Linked DNA regions of Cricetulus griseus. The protein of the gene in region 1 purifies or fractionates together with the protein of each later gene. This does not show direct contact. Links are inferred from orthologs where the notes say so. Each region holds a gene or a part of one and is shown on either strand. Other genes may lie near its edges. The genes, in order: Trerf1 and Dnttip1.

Region 1 (3,818 bases):
TCCCCTCGATCTCTCCATGTTTATGCAGTTCAGGAGCCCCTGCCTAAGGAATAGTGCTGCCCACAGTGGACAGTTAATCAGTTAATTAAGACAGTCCTTCATATACACACCCATAGCTAACTCAATGCACACAATCCCATTGACACTCTCTTCCCAGGTAACTCTGGGGTATGTCAAGTTGACAGTTAAAACTAACCATCGCAGTGGGTCTGGGCAAGAGCCTGGTTGTGAACGTCTAACCCTCTCCCTGGTGATGTCATCCCTGTCCCCAGCACCTTTGTGCGTCTGCTGAGAAGCCTTCGGTGACCACCCCTCACTTTCCATAACACCTCAAATTCAGGGTTGATCCTGAAAAATCTTCCCTAAATTAAGTATGTAAAACTCCTCTTTTTCCTTAGGTTTTGAGACAGAATCTCATGTAGCCCAGAGTGGCTGTCTACGCCTCCTGATTTTCCTTCCTCTGAGCCCTGGGATTACAAGCATGTGTCACCACACCCAACATCGTGTTTTGTGGAACTCTTCATCCCCTCACTCATGTTCAAGTTTACATCTACAGTTTTTATCATGTTTGCAGATGTGATTTCCAGAATAGTATAAATATTGATATTTTTAAGTGAAACTATGACATCACTTTTAATTTTATCCCATGGAATCTAAACACCCTAGCCTTCCAATATCCACCCATTACTCATTTAAAAAATATACACACACACACACACACACACACACACTGGGTCCTTCATTTTTCCTTGAAATTTTATTTGTATTTCACTTCCTCCAGGAGTTTTATATGTGATATATTTTTAGGTTTAAAGCTCTTTCATTTGTATCCCCATCTTTTCATTTCCTGAATCATGAAGCTATATTGAAAGCGTCTTCTGATTTACGTTATAGTTATATTTTTAATAGTACACAATTGATCAAGCCATACAAATGTATAAATAATAAACAGTAAAAGTAAAATTATGTTGAAAATGTACCTTGGAACAGTAGTACTGAGTGCCTTTTTAAAAATAGACTTTTCGCTAGACTTTAAAATAGCTCAGTTGGTGGTTTGCCTCGTGTGCATCAGGCCCTTGGTTTAATCACCAACACTGTATAAAGCAGGAGTCCCCACTCCTGTAGTCCCAGCACTTAGGAGGCAGAGTCAAGAGGATCAGAAACTAAAGGCCATCCTCAGCTCCAGGGCAAGCTCTAGGCCAGTTTGGGCTACCTGAAACCATGGAGAGACAGCTCAGTGGTTAAGAGCACTTCCTGCTCTTCAGAAAATTAGTTCAGTTCCCAGTATCCATGCTGGAGGACTGATAACGCCTGTTTTTCCAGCTCCAGCATCTGATACCTTCTGGCTTCCATGAACACCCACGTTCATGTGTGCATAAACACACGCACACATAAATGTCTAAGAAGATTGTTTATTGCTAGTGTGAGAGCAGGGCCAGTATTTTCCATCTATCCAGGTAGAAGCCATTGTTCATACTTGATAGGAGGAACATAGGGTTTTATCTTAAAAAACAAATCAAGGAAACCCTTGGGGCTGCAGAGATGGCTATGGTTAAGAGCACTTGCTGCTCTTGCAGGGGACCCAGGTTCAGTTCTCAGCATCCACATCAGGTAGCTCAGTCTGTGTGTCTGTCTCTGTGGGAGGTGGTTGAGTAGGACATCTGGTGTCCTCTGATCTGCACAATCACTTACCCTCCCTACATGTGAGTGTACACACCACACATACCATAGCACTCCTGTGCAGGTCGGAGCATGGTTTGTAGATGTCAGTTCCCTCCTTCCACCATGTGGGCCCCTGGATTTGGACTCAGGCTTAGCAGCAAGTGCTAACCCTACTGACCATTGTACTAGCCCTCCCCGAACTCTCCTTTTATGAACAATCACAATATATGTAATGGCTTGTTAAGAAACATCCAAGGAATTAATTTTGTCCTTTGTATCCTGTCTTCCAGGTGTGAACGACATTTCCCCACCACAGTGGTGTCTGGTCCATACCTCAACCCGGGGGAGGATGTAGACACCTCAGCTCTGCAGATGAGTGGTTCAAGCCGACTCGAACCCCTGCCTCCAGCCACCCTCACAGACATGTCAGCCGTGGAGTAGGGTGGACACTTTCTCTCATCTTCTCAGGGTTTCAGGATTTTTTATTTTCTTCATTTCCTTTGATTTTATTATATTTTTTGTGGCTGAACATTCATAACCAAGGAGGACATCATGGGGGACCAGCAGCTGTACAAGACCAACCACGTGGCTCACGGTGGTGAGAACCTCTTCTATCAACAGCCACCCCTTGGTGTCCACAGCGGGCTGAACCACAGCTATGGGAATGCAATCTCAGGGGCTGGAATGGACGCCCCGCAGGCCTCGCCCGTCTCGCCTCACTTCCCTCAAGATACTCGGGATAGTCTGGGCTTGCCGATTGGCTCCAAAAACCTTGGCCAAATAGATACCTCCAGGCAAGGAGGATGGGGAAGCCATGCAGGGCCTGGGAACCACGTCCAGCTTCGTAGCAACTTGGCCAGCTCAAACATGATGTGGGGAGCACCGGCCCAGGTAGAGCCCAGTGATGGTTACCAATACACTTATTCCCAGGCCAGTGAGATCCGCACCCAGAAACTCACCAGTGGTGTTTTACACAAGCTGGACTCTTTCACCCAGGTGTTTGCCAACCAAAACCTGCGAATTCAGGTCAACAATATGGCCCAGGTGCTGCACACCCAGTCAGCAGTGATGGATGGAGCCCCTGACAGTGCCCTTCGTCAGCTGCTATCTCAGAAGCCCGTGGAGCCCTCGGCATCAGCTATAGCTTCCCGCTACCAGCAGGTGCCCCAGCAGCCTCACCCTGGTTTCACAGGTGGACTGCCCAAACCAGCCCTTCCAGTCGGGCAGCACGCTCCCCAGGGGCACCTGTATTATGACTACCAGCAGCCCCTGGCTCAGATGTCGATGCAAGGAGGACAGCCACTGCAAGCCCCTCAGGTGCTGTCCAGCCACATGCAGCCAATGCAGCAGCACCAGTATTACCCACAGCCACCGCCTCAGCAGCAGCAAGCCGGGTTGCCGAGGATCTCCATCCAGGAAATGCAACAGCAACCACAGCAGCAGATTCGCCCCTCACAGCCTCAGCAGCAGCAGCAGCAGCTCCAGCTGCAGCAGCGGCAGGGGTCACTGCAGATACCTCAGTATTATCAGCCCCAACCCATGATGCAACACTTGCAAGAGCAGCAGCAGCCCCCGATGCACCTGCAGCCACCCTCCTATCACAGGGACCCTCATCAGTATCCCCCGGAACAGGCACATGCTGTCCAGCTGATCCAGCTGGGCTCCATGCCCCAGTATTACTATCAGGAGCCTCAACAACCCTACAGCCACCCCCTCTACCAGCAGAGCCACCTGTCCCAGCACCAGCAGCGTGAAGACAGTCAGTTGAAGACATATTCCAGTGACAGGCAGACTCCGGCTATGCTGAGCTCCCATGGGGACATGGGGCCTCCTGATGCAGGGGTAGCAGACCCAGCAAGCTCGGAAATGACCCGAGTCAGCAGTACCCTTCCTCACCAACCGCTCCTGTCCCCCAGTGGTATCCACCTCAATAACATGGGACCTCCGCATCCGCAGCCATCTCCCAGTGCGATGTGGCCCCAGGTATCTCAGAGTCGAAGTTCCTCCCCATCTCTGCTTCATGTGCGACAGGCTGTGCCAGGCATGAGTCTCGGCAATACCCAATTCTCCACCCCTCATCCTTTCTGTTCTTTATATATTTCACAAGTGTTAACATACATATGCCAGGCACTTGGGATACAAAACCAATATGGATT
Region 2 (3,818 bases), on another chromosome or scaffold:
GTTCCAGGACAGCCTCCAAAGCTACACAGAGAAACCTTGTCTCAAAAAACAGCAGCAAAATCAAAAAAAAAAAAAAAAGTTGCTATGGTCATGGTGTCTATTCACAGCACTAGAACCCTAACTAAGACAACCATACCTGGTTGTCCTACTCTCCATTTTACAAATGAGGAAACTTGAGTCTGAGTCTGGAGGAAGTTACCACCCAGACTTCTGTCATCTCCAACATGGTAAGAAGTTTAACCGAAACCTTATTTGTCTTTGTCAAACTCTAGAACCAGGTGGTTTACATGATGCTATTTCTTGACTTTTGTTTTTAGGAAATACAGTCCTGTTAGGTATTAGCACGTACTCATAGTTCCCGTACTCAGAGGAAGAGACAGGGAGATCCAGAGTTAATCCTAGCCTGGGTTACACAGGGATACCATGTCAGAAGCCAAAAAGAAAGAAAATACTGACCCCATAATAATTGGTGTTATAAGGCACTTGTAATCTTTTTTTTTTTTTTTTTTTTTTTTTTTTTTTTTGGTTTTTCAAGACAGGGTTTCTGTGTAGCTTTGGAGCCTATCCTGGCACTCGCTCTGGAGACCAGGCTGGCCTCTAACTCATAGACATCCACCTGCCTCTGCCTCCTGAGTGCTGGGATTAAAGGTGTGCGGCACACTATAGCACTTCTTATAAAAGAAAAACACTTAATTGGGGTGGTTTACATTTCCAGAAGTTTAGTCCATTATCACCATAATGCAGCAAGGTGGCGTGCACACTTGGTGGTGGAGGAGTTGAGATTCCTACATCTTGACCCACAGGAGATAAATAGGAAGTGATCTGCAGTACTGAGTGTGGGTTAAGCGTATGTGAGACCTCAAAGCCCATCTCCAGTGGCACTTCCTCCAACAAGGCCATACCTACCAATAAAGCCACACCTCCCAATAGTGCTACTCCCTCTGTGGGGGCCAATTATAGTTAAACTACCACAGGGACTTAAGGGAAAGTAGACACTTATCCAATCTCTGGCAACTAGTTTATAGCCCCTGGCTTTATTGGCTTGACTCAGCCTGCACTCTGAGAGATCCTAGAGCCCGTGGGTATGCATATCTGTCTAGGACAGGGTCCCTGTAGTGGTTTGAAAGAAAATGGCCCCCAAAGGGAAGGAACTGTTAGGAGGTGTGGCCTTGTTGGAGGGAGTGTGTCACAGTGTGGGCAAGCTTTGAGGTCTCTTGCTCAAACTTTCCTGGGTGTGACTGTCAGTCAACTTTCTACTGCCTGCAAGATGCAGGCCTCTCAGCTCCAGCACCACAGTGCCTGTGCTCCACCATGTCCCCTTCATGGTAATCATGGACTGAACCTTTGAGAGTGCAAGGGAGCCCCCTCCCCCCCCCCATTAAATGTTTTGTTTAGAAGAGCTGCCATGGCTGTAGTGTCTCTTCACAGCAATGAAAGAAAACCCTAATTAAAGACAGTCCATTGGTAAGAACTGGTAAAGGGTCAGGAGAAGAAGAACCCTTGCCATTAAGCTAACGTGTCCCCACTAACTTCATCCCTCACAGTATGCAGCAGATCCTCAGGACAAGCACTGGCTAGCTGAGCAGCATCATATGCGGGCAACTGGTGGTAAGATGGTAAGCACTGTTGTCCCATGTACCACTACCAAAGACCCACCCAGCCCGGGACCATGAGTCCAGCTCCTGGCCACGGCTTGTCTCCAAATTTGGTAGAGTCCCTAAGCACCTAAAATATGGGAAGGGAGATGTGAAGCCTGCTTCTCCATGCTGAAGAGCAGACTGGGGCCTGTTCCTAGGGCTCCCCCTCTCCCTTCTCACCTCCCACCTACTCCTGCAAGATTTCCATCATACCAGATGCCCATAGGAAAGGCAGTTTACAAGACTTTTTGTTTGAGACAGGGTTTCTCTGTGTAGCCCTGGCTATCCTGGAACTCACTCTGTAGACCAGGCTGGCCTCGAACCCAGAGATCTGCCTGCCTCTGCCTCCCAAGTGCTAGGATTAAAGGCAAGTGCCACCACTGCCAGGCTTTGTCTCAAATTTTTAAAATATGTTTTTGTTTATTTATTTGATTGTTTTTTCCAACAGGCCAGGAATAGTGTACCACACCTGTAATCCCAGCATTTGAGAGGTAGAGGCAGAATCAGGAGTTTAAAGCCAGCCTGCATTGTCTGACAAGTTTTAAAGATAGCCTGGGCTACATGAATCATATCATGTAGATATGCATGAAGACAGGGAGCAATTAAATGCTTTTTAATTGGAGGCAGGCTGCCAAGTGTAGTAGCCAGAACACCTGGCTCAGGTCTGGGGTGGCGCAGAAAAGCAATTAAAGGAGATGAGGCAGGTTGCTGGGGATATGGCTCAGGATTAGAATGCTTGCCTGGTGTGTGTGTGTGTGTGTGTGTGTGAGAGAGAGAGAGAGAGAGAGAGAGAGAAGAGAGAGAGAGAGAGAGAGAGAGAGAGAGAGAAGAGAGAGAGAGAGAGAGAGACCAGGTTTAGTCCCCAATACTTTTCTTTTTTTTTTTTTTTTTTTTTGGTTTTTCGGGACAGGGTTTCTCTGTGTAACTTTGGAGGCTGTCCTGGCACTCGCTCTGGAGACCAGGCTGGCCTCGAACCCAGAGATCTGCCTGCCTCTGCCTCCCGAGTGCTGGGATTAAAGGCGTGCGCCACCAACGCCCGGCTCTAAAACTTTTTTATTACATTATTTAGTGTGTGTTGTGTCTGTCTGTGTATGTGGTATGTATAACCCCAGCACTTTCAAGGATAAAGCAGGAGTACTGCAGTGAGTTCAAGGCCAGCCTGGGCTACAAGAATTACAGGCCAGTGCCAACTACAGAAACAAAAACAGCTACTGTATGTGAGCTTAAGGATGGAAGACTGGTACTGTGCAGACCCAGGAGAACTCAGTGCTACAGCCATTGCACAGCAGCACTGCTGACTGAACGAACCCCTTCTACATATACCACTTCCTCCTGTTTCCTCCGTGTTCTGCTAGCTTTCACCATCTTGTTATAACCACATCAAGGGGTGTGTGTGTGTAAGAGCCATAAATAAATTAATCACCAAAGCCATGCCTGAAATCCAGCTACTCAGGAGGCTGAGGAGGCAGTGTCGTTCAGGGACAGTCTGAGCAACTTTTTTTCCTTAGTCACTGGTATCTGCTCCTCCCCCTGTAAAGTTTCTGTTTGAGTAAAGACACTCTCAAGGGGCCATCCCCCATGCTTTCCTCTGTACTCTGGCCAGGTAATCTGTAAACTTCATCCTGAGTCTGTCTAGTAGCAGGCTTTACACAATAAGAGTGTTTCTGAACTGCTGAGAAATGACTCAGAGGCTTTAATCACTCCCCCTTGCCTCCAGGCCTACCTTCTCATTGAGGAAGACATCCGAGACTTGGCTGCCAGTGATGATTACAGGTAAAACCAAAGGGGCTCCTCCCTATACTCCCGTCTGCCTCAGTAGGCACGCACACGGATGAGGCCATCACCCTCCCATTAACATCCCTACAATGTCTCCCCCAGAGGATGCTTGGACCTGAAGTTGGAGGAGCTGAAATCCTTTGTCCTTCCCCCCTGGATGGTTGAAAAGATGCGGAAGTATATGGAGACACTACGGACAGAAAATGAGCATCGTGCTGCTGAAGCGCCACCCCAGACCTGAGCCAGGTGTTCTGGCTACTACACTTGGCAGCCTGCCTCCAAGACCCTCTTTCCCCGACCGGCTGAGGCCATCCTGGGGACTGGGTCTAATTGGATCTTAGCAGCATTAAGCTGTACATGAGCTAGTTTGTAGTGACTCACTGAAGAGCACCCAGACTGGCATGT

What was found.
Region 2: the proteins of Trerf1 (region 1) and Dnttip1 purify together in Homo sapiens (affinity purification with mass spectrometry; 3 studies listed by BioGRID and IntAct, with this or other methods). This does not show direct contact. The link is inferred for Cricetulus griseus from reciprocal best matches to the Homo sapiens genes TRERF1 and DNTTIP1.

Annotation. Positions count from the first base shown.
Region 1 is NW_023276806.1:256,678,078-256,681,895, forward strand, and holds part of Trerf1 (transcriptional-regulating factor 1), read left to right. Parts: intron 1-1,952; 5' UTR 1,953-2,214; coding exon 2,215-3,645; intron 3,646-3,818.
Region 2 is NC_048599.1:14,660,004-14,663,821, reverse strand, and holds part of Dnttip1 (deoxynucleotidyltransferase terminal-interacting protein 1), read left to right. Parts: intron 1-1,544; coding exon 1,545-1,616; intron 1,617-3,354; coding exon 3,355-3,410; intron 3,411-3,515; coding exon 3,516-3,654; 3' UTR 3,655-3,818. UniProt on the Homo sapiens protein: Increases DNTT terminal deoxynucleotidyltransferase activity (in vitro). Also acts as a transcriptional regulator, binding to the consensus sequence 5'-GNTGCATG-3' following an AT-tract.